Linked DNA regions of Lonchura striata. The protein of the gene in region 2 interacts with the protein of the main gene of each other region in a biochemical or structural test. Links are inferred from orthologs where the notes say so. Each region holds a gene or a part of one and is shown on either strand. Other genes may lie near its edges.

Region 1 (7,882 bases), on a different chromosome or scaffold from region 2:
ATTTTTGTCTTTTAGTTCACGTCACAGCTCAGCTTGGATGTAAATTAAAGCAGGTGAGAGCCTGCTTTTGGGAGGCTTTTAATCTGCCTATGCAGCTGGGACAAAAGTTAAGAGCTGGAAGAGAACAAAAAAAGGCAAAGGTGCACATGTTACTGGAATAGACAAATGCACAGCTTTGAAGTCAATGGACCTTTGGCAGTTTACTCCACCTGTGATTTAATAAACCTGGTAGGCCATGAAATATTTCATAATTAACTTTAACATTCTTAAATGTGTTGTATGTTTTATGGACTGGTTTTAACAACCTGTAAAAAAAACCAAAACGTATTATGCTGTAAATTGAACAAGGAAGCAAGAACAGATTATAATACCTAAAAGGTGAATTAACACTTGCTAGGGAATGCATTATCTGACTTCTTTAACTTGCCATTTTAACTGTTGCAAGAATAGCAATTTTGGGTTCTTCTAGTAATAGTTTGGGGATTTTTCAGGAGATGTTAAGTAGGCAAAGAGTGTCAGGGCTTGCTGGGGGACATGGAGAGGGGCCCATGGGATGGAGCAGCATCAGGGAAGGGCCTCTCAAACCAGGGCCCATCCCCAGTGAAAGAGCAGGGTAAGACGTCTCAGTTGGGTGAGGAATTCTGCTAGCAGCATCTTCTGTCCAAACAACTAGGGTCCATTCTTTTTCACACAGTGTGTTTTCTGGAGGATTGTGGACTGTTTCTGGTGATGTGGAGTTCCACAGGTGCCAGCTGTGCATCAGATCAAAATCCATCCAAAATAAAACATGGTCCCCATGAATGTAGCAGTGACCCAGCCACTTCATTTACACAAAGATACTGTTTGTGTCATAATTTCCATCACTGTGCATTAATATTTATTCTCCCAGTATTTTAAAGATACTTGTGATTCTGATGTGAGGGAAAAATTAAGATGATTTCAACAGGAAATGGATTTTTGTACAAGATTCCCCTCCCCTTCCAATTTCAGTGTAGCAGCTGCTGTTGCCAGGCTGTCTTTGTTGCTATGGTGGTGGTTTGTGTGCCAGAATTTTATATTCACTCTTGCAGAGTCACCTGATTGAGTGGCTGTGCCACAGAAGTTATCAGGCTCACTGGTGAAGATAAAGGCTGTATCTGACTGCTGTTCTGTATGTATGGCATCTTGTGAAGGGAGCAGATGAAACATAAACAGATTCCAGTGGCCTCTGGCCATCAGCTTATGGAAGAATTAGCAGATGATCTCTCTCAGTAAATGAGTGACTTCTGCATTTGGAAGGTGGCATTTCTTAGCACACAAAGCAGCTTCCCCACACCTTGTGGCACTTGTCTCAGTCAGGTATGAGCTTTGCTGTCTGCATGACGTGAAAGTAGCATTTTAGCAGAAGCACTGAGCATTAATCAGAGAGAGTGCCACATTTTCTGTATTTCTTTTCCAGAGTTGTTCCATAGAACTTAATTATCCTGCTCCCACTGATAATTAGAGTATAATTTGACCCAATTTAAAATGCAGTAAGGATGATAAACTCAGCTTCACCAGAAGTAAAGCTTTAATCCCAAATCCTGCAAATACTTATGTTTAACTCTTAGTGCACCATTGCAAGGAAGCATTTGCAAGGCTGAGGTCCCTGCTTCTCTTCAAAATCCAGAATTGCACCAATAAACTCAGAATAGCAAGTGAAATAGAGATTTAATATATTATTTCTCTGAACCCAAATTTAAAACAGTAAATTTAGGTTTTAGTGCATTTCTCATATCACTTCACAGAGTCTGTGTAGTTTTTGCGTGTCTTCATTTGACTTTGGTCAAAGCCATCTGTTATTTAAATTAGTTTTCGCTCCTTTCCTGATTTGTTTACACACATCCAGATGTGTATCTAAAACATTGTGTATTCAGTTATTCCTCTGGAAATGAAATATTGGTACCTAAGCCCCTTATATAAAAAATAATGCTTTATTGGGTATATTGCATTTGAACAATTTGTATTATCTATGTAAGGCAATCACTTTACTGTCTAGGCTGAGATTTTTGAGCCTAGAGAAATGAAAGTATCCTGAAATAGTTCTTGCAGCAACATGAGACCAGCCAGGTATTACATCTGATTTGTATGATTTGGAATAACCACTCGAATAAGCCTATTGCTGGCTGGGTTTTTTTTTCTAACACCACATCTTTCCTTCACTCTTAGAACTGGAAGGGGCTGAGTGAAGAAGAAATAGAAAATAAGTGTGTAGATGTCTTAACTGAAGCTTTGAAGAAAGGCACCTGGTTTTTCTTTTACAAGGCTTAGGCCAATCATTTAAGGACAAAGTCTTTGTACTCTTTCTGGGTGTAACAATCCTGCTGAGTAGAGCTGGTTTCCAGGTCTCTGATCCCAAGCTTGGTGGGAAAGGATCTAGATAGAGACACCCAAATTGTGTTTGCAGTATGTACTAGGTACCAAGTAATGTGCTCCTTGCTGCAGCAGATGCCAGTGAAGCAATAGCAGTAACACATGAGCTAGCTATCTGGGTTGAAACTAAAATTCCCACTGATTTCACAGAGCCCTGGATTTCAGCACAGGCTGAATCACAAGCACTTTCCAGAGCTGTAGTTTAAAAGGCCCAGGCATAATGTCATTTCCTTTTGTGCTGCTTCTTCCTCTTGAGGGAAAATTCATTAGATACCTGCCATATGAAAGGTGTGTTTCTCTTCAGACAAATACTATCAGATTAAAATACGCAAGTCTGAAAAACCACAGAATTGCTCCAGACAAAACTTTGTCTCTGTAATGAAGTTACAGAAGGCACCAGTATTAGAGCCTATCCTTATCCATAGGCACACTTCTTCCATGTTCAGGTCCATGGTTGCTGGGAGCCTATGGCTTCATCATGAATCCTGAGCTATCATAAATTGTGATTTGTTTTTCCCTAACAAAGACTGTAAATGAGTCTAGGTCAAATAAAAGTGGATTTGTGGGTTTGTTGAGAACTGCCACAGAAGTGCCACTATTCCTGGCAGGTTTACATCTTCCCAAGTTCTGATTTCAGTAGACTACTGGGAATGCAAGAGTTAAAGGATCACAAGTAAGTACTGTAGCACCAGTATTCTATGCTCTTATTTTCTGTGGGTTTTAGTAGTATTTTCATTCTTTTGTATATGCAATATGAAATGAGATGAAAAGGCCGTTGTGCAAATAGCCCTGAAAATCTCTCCCTTTTCCCCCGCATGGAGCAACCCCATCCGTCAGTGCAGTCAAAGGCAGAATTGGTTATTGTTGCTTTAAGTCATGGCAAATGGCTGGGAATTACAGCACAGCAGGGAGAGAGCAGGCTCTCATCCTGACTGATGTGGCACCCATGTTTGCAGGGAAGGTTAATAAGAACAAAAAATAGATCCAGTGGATTAATTGGCCTTGAAATGTGTCCGCTGTGTGCACAGGCTATGGTGAAAGAGCAGATTCACCTCTCACTAAAGGCAATCAAAAGTCTTTCATTGAAGGGGAAGAATCTGGAAAAGGCCCAGAGGAAAAGCTTTAGCAACTCTTTATAGTAAGAGCAAATCAGCAGTCCAATATGCCAGTTTTGTAGGTTTTTAATTAAAAAAAAAAAAACAAACAAACCCAGAACCAACATCTCCAGACTCAAATTTAAGAAAAAATACTTGGTACTAGTTTGAAATATAATTCCTCCAAACTAAGTTAAAAATACATACAAATACATTTTTTTCTGTGTCATTTGCTTTGTCTGTAGCAGAAATTTGGCCTGCTGCCCCTAAATCCCAAGGGTCACTTGGAAACCCCTACAGAGAAATTAGAAATCTCATATGCTGTGTCATCTGATGCTTTATCTCTGCACAGGGGCTCTAACAGAGAGGTCATTTTGTGGAGCACTTTGTTCTTTAAAAATATTTTCCTTTAAAACCTCTGGAGTTAGAATTTTTCTGGGTGAGAGGATGTTTTGCCATCCTTATGCCTTCTGAGCTGAGTATACCTAAAACTGAATTAAGGTCACATTCCTTTGTTCTGAGGAAGCCTCTCCATGTGATGAGATCAAAAAGCTGTGGTAAAGCAGTTTCTGTGTATTTAAAGCATGAAGCTTTGGGAATTGTTTGTGCCACTCTTTCAATTAAAAGTTGTTCCTCTTTTGGCATCACTATGCAGGCTCAGTCAGCGCTGTCCCTCTGCTTTTGCCAAAACTATTCCCTCAAAACTAAAAGATAAAAAGTTTCACTCAAGAGGAGGGAGAACTGCGTTGAAGGTGGCAGAGCACTGGGTGGAATCCCCCTCTCCGGAGACATCTCCCAAAGCCACCTGGGCACATTCCTGTGTCACCTGCCTCAGGTGCCCCTGCCTTGGAAGGGATGCTGGGCTGGGTGATCTCCAGAGGTCCCTTCCAACGCCAACCATTGTGAAATTCCCGGTGCGGAAATTTAGCGGCCCGCGGGAGCGCTCCTGGCCGCATCTCTCAGTGGGACGAGACGCACGGACACTCACCCTCGCTCCCTTGCAGAGCGTTTCGGAGCCCCACGCGTGCTTCCCGCGGAAGGAGGCGGATCTCCCGTTCCCAGCGTTTCCTGCCGTCCTCCTGGCTGCCGGAGGAGCCGCGGCGGGGCCGCGCCTCCGCTCGGCGGAAGGCGGCCGGGAGGTGGCGCCGCGGCGCCGCCGGCGCTGCCCTGGGCGCGGGGGAACCTCGGGGGCCGAGCCTGGCGGGGCGGGAGGAGGAGCGGAGGGAGGGAGCGGAGCGGGCAGCGCCGCGGCTCCGTGCCCTGCGTGCGTGCGTGTGTGTGAGAGGAGCGGGCGGGCCGGCGGTATATAGAGGATGTGCCGCCGCATGGCTCGCCCCGGCCGCTGCCGCGCCAGCTCCTTGGGCCAGCGCCAGTGAAGCCTCTCGCCCTCGCCGCCCGGGCAGCCGCCTCCCTGCCCGCTCCCGGCGCCTCTGCCGGCCTCTCTGCCGGGTTTCCGGCGCCCCGGCGTCCCTCCTGCAGCGGCCGCTTCCCGCGGCTCCTCCGCGCCGGGGCAGAGCGAGCGCGTCCATGCGGTGCAGATGGCCGGGGCACAGCCAGGGGTGCACGCTCTGCAGCTCAAGCCCGTCTGCGTCTCCGAAACCCTCAAGAAAGGCGTCAAATTCGTCAAGTGGGACGATGTGAGTAGCCCCCGCTCCCCCCGGCAGGGGCACGGCGGGGTTGCGGGGCGATCGGGCGGGAGGGCTGTGGGCCCTGTCCCGCCGGGCGCGGAGGGCAGGTGCGGGGCGGCCGCAGCGGTGGCCCCGCCGGGTGCTGCCGGGCCGAGCGGCGGCGTTGGGCCGGCGGCCGAATGCCGGGCAAACTTTCCGAGGTCTCTCCTGTCGAGTTGCGCTTGGCCGGTGCGGGCTGTGTTGGGCTGGCTCCTTTCGCCAGCGTCTTCCTCTCCCGCCTCCCGCGTTTCGGTGTGCGTGTTGCCGCCTCTGTCTTCCTAATGTAGTTGTTTCAACCTGTTCTCTCGTTCCATCTCCCGTCTCCTCCTCTCAGCCTCGCCTTTTCCTTCTGGCGCCTGCTTCTCTCGCTGTCTCTCTTGTTCTGGTGGAGTTGTCAAGCCCTAATGTGTTCTCCCAGTTTTGGGTACCCTCGGTCGCTTTACTTCCTCTGCAGAAGACACTCTTCTTTCTTGGCTCATTAGGGCATGAGACTTGCCACACCATCGTATCTGTTTTCCCTTTACTGCTTGCTGTTTCCCAACCCTTTACGTTTGTATAGCCTCATATAGGAAAGGAGTGCAGTTTCCACCTCACCTTTGGCTGGGCAGCTGGGATTTCTTCCTTGGCATGCTGGCTATGCCCGGGACACTTTCAGAGCAAAGGAGAGCTAAACGTCAGAGTTGCCTTTTTCTAAGCCTGCAGAGAAAGAGAGCAGGACGAGTCCTCTGCTTGCTTTTGCTCTGGCAGTCCCACGCTGGCTGTATGTGTCTCAGTTGTGCGCGGAGGAGCAGGTGCCCCAGAAACTCTGTGGACGGTGTCTGGGGGCACAGAGGCATCGTGAGACTCGAGCTGAGGTAGAGAAATGGTTGGGAGAGAAGACATGCAGTCTGAATGTCAGGAGAATTGTTGAGAATGAGTTTGTTCTCAGAGCTCTTGCGTGTTTGCTGTGATCTTGGCTGTGCTAAAGACATCCACAGCAACAACTGGAGGGACAGCAGTGAGGGAGGAGCAGTTCATCTGTAACCACTGTTCTTGGCTTGTGTCTTGTTCTTTTGCCGTTTCTTTCAGCCTGTCCAGCAGCCAAATAGTGTGAGTCTGACCCCTGTAAGCCTGTGACAAACACTCTTAAGGAGAAAGAGAAATCAGAAACCAAACAACTTGTGAAGTTTTATTTACAGTAATAAGCTAACACATTTTTAAAAGGCTCGGCAAACTGACCTTGTCCGCAATACCAAACAGTGGCTTGATATAGGTTCTGTATGTTCAGGAACTATGCTTGAACCAGAAAACATTTTCTTTTGGTTAACGTTTTCCTTAGGGTAGGAAAAGGCAGCCTTGTCATTGCAGTTATTGTTTTATTTTTGGTAAGCTACCAAGAAACTTTTGCGTGTGTATGCAGAGGTCAGGTTAACGATGATTTGAGTCTCCAGACTGAAACTCCAAGCCATCAGGTAACAGTTTAAATTATTAGAGTGCTATTTCCCAAATAATAGTTGCGTAGATAGAATTGAAAAATTAAGAGGCGCATCCATGCGCAGTGGATGTTCACCCGATAACCTGCCTGCTACAGGCTAGTTGATAGAAAGATTTAAAATTGTAAACCTGAAGGCTGCACTAATAAAACATGGCTAAATTCTGGAGAAAGATCTGTGTTTTGTGTTAAAGGTGTTACTCAGCAGTCCACAGGTGTTACCTGGAATATGTGACTGAGTTGAGTCCTGTTGTGCCTAGTGATTGCTTTCATTGTCAGCCTTGTGAAAGTTGATGCCCATTTAGCCACACTGTGATTAAGAATTCTAGCATTAGCTCATTGACTGTGCATTGTGTGTATATATCTGCATGTTTCCCACCCCTCAGCCCTCCTGTCTTGCCTGTAGTTTCTCAGCAGTGGAAGCCCCACAGAATCCAAGGTTTCAAGGGAAGGGAGTTTCCTCTGCCACTCTGGCTCATACACTGATGTTTGTTAAGCATCGTTTCTTTTCACTGTGTGAGAGTGGGAGTTCAGTTCTTCCACATCCCCTGTGCACTGGGACAGCTTCTATCCTCTCCTTGTTCTCTTCCCTGCTGTTTTGGGTTGCAGTTTAAAGATGGCCCTACTGACTTTGCTTTGCGTTTTATGAAGCAGAAGTGGTTGTTGTGAATTCTTACTACTCATACCAAGTTTCAGCCCAAAGCAAAATTTTTCTAGCTGAGCTTTAAACTAATGGGAATGCTGGAAGCATTTAAACAAGAGCGTGAGAGGCGTTGAAGGAATTCTGTATTGTGTGGAGTAGCATTACAGAAAGTGTTTGCCAGCTTTGAGAAGGACACTGTGGCAAGCTGTGCAAGCTGTTGTCTGACAAAACCTGTGGTGGTACAGACTTGGAAACCAGTCCATGTATGGACCTCCCATCCTGAGCCTCTCATAGCTCTGTGCCTGGTCAGTAACTGAGGTGCTGCTAGCAGATGTGGTACTGACAATTCTCATGAACCCCCTCTGAGGAACAGCACTGAAATCTGCTACGTGTGACCCATGAGCCTCATCCAGTACCTGCTGCCCCTGCCCTGTGGGGATGGTCCAGCTGGAAAGGGAAATGCTGTGCCTGAGCTTGGTGAAGTGCAGAGGAGGAGGTCACATCAGCCGTTCCAGATCACAGATAGGTGGAAGGCTTGGAATTCTATTTCCTCTGCAGACCATCTTCAGTTTATAAATTAAAAAAGCATTAGGATCAATTAAAAAGGTCTGGCTTT
Region 2 (6,985 bases):
TCCAGAAAAGAAAAAAAAAAAAAAAGAAAAAAAACCAAAGATGTTCACTTATGTTTACATTAAAAAAACCAGCACAAGTGATTTTCTCCCCAAAGCTGAGGGGGAAAGAGATGAAATGGGACAGTAAACATTTATTTAATATTAAAAAAATCAGATTATTTTAAATCAGATCGTTTTCCTGCTACCAGCCTCACTATTTTTGATGAATATTTCATTCGAAAATGGTTTCCTCTGTCTCATAACCATGTAAATGACCCATACAAACAACTTAGCATTCGTTTTACAAATAACTGAGCATTTACTTATGCTAGGGAAACAATGAAAGTGGCTAAAAAAAAAGTGTTCTAAGGTACTTAAGATAAATCCACTTATGAAAGAAGTTCCCATAAATTTCTTTTAGAAATTGAAACTTAAGTCTACAAAATACCAAGACACCAAGAGTCTTTCACTACACACTGCATTTCTCAAGACAAGATCATTATGTTAATCCAAATGTGCGCATACTATTTCTTTCAGTCAAATATATGACAGAGGCTGAGAAAACATTAGTCAGAAAAAATGCATGCACAGTAACAATTTCTGTACTGGTTTTATTAACCAGGTGTATGGATGTGCTCTTAAATACATGCAGCCAAAAGTTCACACCTCCAGATCTCTACATCATGCCTCCACTTTCACAAGCCTGCTGGAAGTCTTAGCTGGCATTGATGAACTCAAGAGTTTTTCCTAATCTTTTCTATGGGTTGGTTTCTCTCCTGTTCTTCTTCAAATCACCACACATTATCTGGTCCAAAGTGATGCCATAACTGGACTCCAGTCTACCACCATCTACCTCAATACTTCATGTTAGTGGTGGGAGGACCTTGCAAAGCAGCTCAAGTTCCGTGTTCCTAACTGCAGAATCTCTTCTCTAGGAAAAATTTCTTCTCTAGGTAATATATATTGGTCTCATTCAGTGAATTTCATACATTTCTGAAAATCTGGGAGAAGCTTCTAGCACTACTGTAAGAGATACCGAGAACATACAGAAAAAATCTGGACCTGAATAACATGTCAAATGTATGAACTGCCTCTCCCGAAGCAAGTGTCTATCATTAATCATACTTAGACATCCATAATATTAAGCAAGGGCAGTCTATTTTATCTTCTTTGTGCATCTCAGAGATCACACTGCCATAAACCAAAATCAGTCAAAAATCCAAAAGAACATTATTATTGTTGAGTGCTGCATCCATGTCACTACTTCTCTCCCAGATCCGTTAGAGATCCCAACCTTGTCTACAAGGAAATAACCTTCAAGAAATAGCATATTCATATGGAAGCACTAAAACGAATTCAAACTTTTCCTTCCAACTTGCCTTACCTTATTGAATAGGCACTTTACTTCCTCAGTATAAACCACTACTTCCATATACATGGCCCAAGAAAAACATCTTCCCTGTAAACATCCCACATCCATTTGGAACATACTCACTCATTCACACATCAGAGAGTAGCACAAAAATACATAAAGGCCTGAGTCCAGGCAGGAACTATTACCACGGAGCTACGCGACACAGTGCATCAGACTGGACACAGTCAAGCAGATTTTAATTCGAAAGCCTTATTTTAACATAAGCCAAATTTCTATTAGATAAATGCCACCTCTGCATATTTCTAAAATATTCTGCAACTCTAAAATAGCAACCTCTGCTTTAATTAAGGAGAAACGATACAGTTGATTTTATTCCCTGACCAGTGGGTGGATGCCAAGGGTATTAAAGATCCTGTAATCATCCAGCACACTTCAGGTTACCCCTCAGCTTGCCATGTGCATCTGGGCCTTTGCGGCTCCCTTCCCTTTGTAGAAACCGGTATGCAAGCTGACCCCAAGCCCCTTATCCAACTTTACCTCAATAAATAAAAATCACAATGAGAAATGCAACCGGTGAGCTAACAACCTTGCCGAAGCCCACGGAACAATGCAGATATCACACCCGCCACCATCGACCTGCACAGCGACTCCCCCTGGGAATCCTTTCCTTAATCCGCTTCGCTACCATCGCTCTCCCACACACATCGACATTTGCCCCTCTCCCCGCAGCCCGCTCACTCACCCGCCATCCATTCCCTCTCCATTTTGGAAGGCCGCTTCCCGTTTCACACCGAACGCCCCCGCCGGCGATGCCCGCAGGCGGGCACACACGCCCCGTTCCCCGCGGCGGAGCTCGGCCTGCGGCTCCCCGCGGCGGGGGCGCCGAGCGCCCGCGGCAGCGCCGAGCGCCCGCGGCAGCGCCGAGCGCCCGCGGCAGCGCAGGCACTGCCGCCGCCCGTGCCCGCCGCCGGATACCTGCGCCGGCACGGACCGCGCCGGCGGCGATGCCCGGGCAGCGGCCGGCGGCACCTGGGGCGTGCGCGGTCCGAGGCGAGCGGCCCGAGGCGAGCGGCTCCAGGCGGGAGGAGGAAGCCCCGCACTCACCCAGCAGCAGCAGCTTCAGCTCGCGGCGGGCGTCCCGCTTGTCCCGACGCAGCTGCCTCTCGATCTCGTCGTTGATCCGCCGGGCTTCCTTGGCTTCCTCGCTCAGGCAGCACGCCATGATGGACTCCAGAGTCATTCTTCCTAACTGGTTCAGACACAGCCCCCACCCCCCCTAAACCCGCACGCACACTCGCACACACGCACCCCGCCGCCGCTCCGGCCCCGGGGGGCACAGGCGCTCTCCGAGAGCCCGGGGGCCGCCGCAGGGCAGGCGCGCAGGCAGAGCAGCCTCGATGCCACAGAAGGGCAAGAAGAAAGGCAGGGCCGCTGGCGGCGCGGATCCCCGCTCCCTGCCGCTGACACCCGCCGCTGCCAACTCCTCCTCTCCTCTAAATCATGCACCGAACAACATGGAAACATCCACCGCGGCGGCAGCAGCAGCGCTACCCAGGCGAGCCGTCCCTCGTCCCGCTGCTTCCCTTCCCTCGCCGCCGCCCGCAGCCTGCGCGGTCCCCGAGTGTCCCTGGCGGCCGCCGACACCCCCGCCGCCCTCCGACGCGACCACCCCACCCCCGTGGAAGCGTTAATGCCCACTAATCCCTCCCCCGCCCCGCACACGCACACATCTCTCCGCCGCTCCCCGCCCCCAGAGCGGGAGCCCGGCTCCTGCGGGGTGGCGAGATCGCCGCTACCCGGCAGGAAGAGCTTTCCCGCGGCCGCTCCTCCTTCCCGCCGCCTCGGCCGCTCGCCCTTCCAAGAAGGAGGCGGGCGTGGTGGTGGTGAGGGAAAGCGGAGCTCGCTGTCGGAGAGCTGCCGCTGTTCGGCTCCGCTCGGTTCGGCCCTGCTCGCGTTGCCGACAGAGCAACGGAAAGGGAAACGAGTGCACTAGCAGGGGTCGAGCCCGACCGGCTTTTAAATGGTCGGGCTCCGCGGGCGTGGTGCGGCAGGAATATGGCGGCGCGGCTCCCGCCGCCGCTCCCGCTCTCTCTCCGCCCCGCCGCGCGGCGGGGGCGAGCGGCCGGGGCGGCCGATCCCCGCCCGCGCTGTGCCGCCCCCAGGGCCGCGCCGCCCGCCCTGCGGCGGCCGAGGGCGGAGGAGGAGTGCGGGAAGAGACCGAACGGATTCCCACTCCAAATGGCTGCGAGGAGCTGTGCCTGCTCCGGCTTGTCCTGACGGGCAGCGCTTTCCCTAACGCCTTGTTTGCTTTCGCTTCCTTTGTTTTTAGACGTGGGCACACATTTTTATTCGGTTCCCATCCTAGAAGAGATGAATTGGGTTGGCAGGGTCTGGCGGAAAATGTGGCCGGCTGAAAGGAAGGAAGGAGTAAGGAGCCGAAAATGCCTTTTCCACCTTTGGCCGGAATGGGAAGGCAGAGCGGGATACGCGCACACCGTCAGGCACCCGGAAGGTTTAGCGCCCTGACTTCTTGCTGGGAAGGCAAAGCCGTGCGTTCGGCACGAACGCGCTGGGACACCCCACGGAACGCCACCGGCGTGGCCGATACTCGGCTGCGGTGAGTTCTATTCGCTCCTCGCCCCGGCCCCTGCCTTAGGCCCGATTTCTGGAAAGCATCCCCGTGTAGCTTTCGGTAGCTCTCGGGGTGATGGCATACAATCGAGCAGAATGCACTCATACACCTTCTAGTTTTTGTGAATTCATAAACTCCTCACAGAATTCCCACACCTGCACTTCCTTTGGCCACCTCCATTTTAAACTACTTGTATCTAGGAATGTTGCCAAATCGGTTGTGAATCTGGTACCTAGCCTAGATAGTGGGTAGAAAGGCACATCACTCTTTTAGCTCCATATCTGAAACCTCACCAGCACCTGCTGACATCTGTTTCGAAATTTATATGCGCTTTCCTAAAAGCTTCCATATGTACTGATAAAATTATTTAAGTAAGGTCTGCTATAAAGAGCAAGACAATGAGGGAATTAAAAATAAACATATAAAGATAATAAAAACAACCAGGAAAATAATACAACCAATTTTTTAGAGCATAAAAAATTACTTATTAAAAATTGCATGATTTTCATGTAGATCTATATTGTACTGGTATGAATAGTGTGTAAAAATGATTTATACAACTTGGAATCTTTTTACTTCATTCCAGTCAATGACTTTTAGTCAAAATTGGGTAGATTAAGCTACTAAGAATAGACTATATTTCACTCAAAGCATATTCTCTCTTTTAAAACCTGTAGGTATAGAAGTGTATCTATGTATTCACCTGTATTGTGTACTGGTCCCAGATGTATTAATATTACATGCAATTTAGATTTCTAAAGTGCCAGCAGTGAATTACAGAGACAACGAGTAACAGAAAAAGAGGGGGAGGTTACTTCAAGGAAACAATTATCAGGGTTTTTGAGATATCAGGGTTTTTTCTTCTAAATGCCAGAGTCCAAAAGAGTGAAGGTGAGTATGGTAAAGCTCACAAGAAATTCTTGTTGGATATTTTGTACATTGTGCCCAAATCCACAGCAATCATCTCCAGGAATCACATCTTGAAAAAATATTAGGAACAGGTCAATGAGTTTTCAATCTTTAGGTAAACTGAATCAATATCTTCTCCAAAACTGAGGGCACACTGTTCTAATAAAAACTGTAATTGTCTACAGTAGAAGAAGTTGGACTAAACTTTCTTACCTGTTTTATATGCTCAGTATAAAAGGCATGAACACAGTGTATACCTCAAATGTAGAACTGCATTTAATTTTGCATTTTTAATAAGACAAGACATGCCACAGACCATAACTGTAATCTGCATGTACCACTTTTATTGATATAACTGGATTTCAAATATTTACAGAATAAATATCTTCATATTTTTAATGGATGAGCCATCTAGTCCTGAATATGGCATCAACAGATAGTCATTATACACTGTTTTACTCATTTGCTTCATGACTTAGTGAAAGTCAGAAGAACCCCATTATGGATAATTACATGATAATAAACCTATGAGGAGATTTCTTTCCAGACCTCAATTCCATAATGATTGGCTTTTGTTTTGAAATGTGAAACATCCTTTATAAATATTTTATCCTAATAACAACTATCAGTAAATAACAGAAATCTTTATTGCGTATGCAGGTAATTATTATCCATAGATACTATCCATGCTGTTATCTAATCCTGGACAGATACTTCCTGATAAGCCTCCCGTAGCACTAATCTCATATTCCTCTATCCAAGTAGTCTCTAGTGCATGGCTCATAGCAACCCATTGCTTGTGAGATGTTTTGATGTTGCTTACTGCCACAGGAAATTAAAAGTGAGACTGTCAGAGGGAGAAAAGATATACTTGCATCCTTGGTATTCTTACTCATAAAACAGTAAAGATTTGGAAACTACCACTATGTTTAATCATGTCCATAGCATTCTTTGCACTAAGCTATCTTAGTTTTCAATTTCTTCCTTCCATATGCCTAAAGATATTTATTGTCTCTTTTTTCCGTCTTTTCTGCCTAAGAAAGGTTTTCTGTGATGTTTTGACAGGTTCCAAATGGTATCTGAACTTGGTACTCACATGACAGTATACTAGAAGATTGTGTATAGCAACATCATAGGATTTTCATAATTTGTGAGTGCTTTTTCGTTGCCATTGTTCATTAAGAAGATATTTGCACAGTGCTATGCAGAAGTACATCCCAGTCTTGTTTGTGAATGTTTCTAGTAAATTTAGAGGCTGTCAGTATGTCTGAGTTGAGCAAATTACCCTTCCAGTATGCCCTCCTAATCAGGTTTTTCTTTGCTGGTTTTGTTTGGGTTGGAGTTTTTTGTTGTTGTTGCTGTTGTTGTTTTTGTGTGTTTTTTTTGTTTGGTTGAGTTTCTGGGAGGTTTTTTTGGGTTTTTTTTTTTTTGTTTGGTTGGTTTTGGGGTTTTTTAAAGGGGGAAAAACCCAAATAAAATGTATCTGCTGTTTTCTGCTGTTAAATGAATAACATCCAGCAATTTCCTTCAGCAGATATCCATTTGTTCCAGTGTGTTTTGACAAATTATCTTCTGAATGTTTCTCAGTGTTCCTTATTTCAAAGCAAAAAGTGTCTGCCAAGGTGCTAAGGTACAGACCAATGACTAGGGAAGAGTTAACCCGCTGTTTTCTCATCTGATTTTTCTGGAATTTTGGAAACTTCTTCCCTTCTGTGTGTTTGTATGTCAGGGTTCTTATGGAAGACCTGTATCTGAAAAAGCTTTTTTTATTTTTTGAAACACTTTTGTTCTTCAGACGCATCTCTTAACATTCTTTTGCCCCGGCACTAGAAGAGGGGTGTTGTGCAGAGAAGCGCGTGTGGCAGTCCCCGAGCGCAGCGCGGTGCAGGACGCGCACCCCGGCTGAGTGCGCTGCACCAGGAGCCAGCATCCTGCCCACACCACTCCTCGCCTGCCTGCACGGCCGCTGCCTGCTCCAGCAGGACAGGCTAGCAGCCGCATGATTTGGCACCTTAACTGTGGGCAGAACTGAATCCTGGTGTATTGTGTTGGGTGGGAATTTTTTTGGTTGTTAGGGTTTGTTGGTTGCT

The links. The genes of interacting proteins can lie anywhere in the genome.
Region 1: the proteins of guanine nucleotide-binding protein G(q) subunit alpha (region 2) and PLCB1 form a complex in vitro, tested with the Homo sapiens proteins (2 studies listed by BioGRID, with this or other methods). The link is inferred for Lonchura striata from reciprocal best matches to the Homo sapiens genes GNAQ and PLCB1.

What each region holds. Positions count from the first base shown.
Region 1 is NC_134605.1:24,282,001-24,289,882, reverse strand, and holds the start of PLCB1 (1-phosphatidylinositol 4,5-bisphosphate phosphodiesterase beta-1), read left to right. Parts: upstream 1-4,867; 5' UTR 4,868-5,023; coding exon 5,024-5,122; intron 5,123-7,882.
Region 2 is NC_134642.1:24,302,958-24,309,942, forward strand, and holds the start of guanine nucleotide-binding protein G(q) subunit alpha, read right to left. Parts: upstream 3,010-6,985; 5' UTR 2,595-3,009; coding exon 2,459-2,594; intron 1-2,458.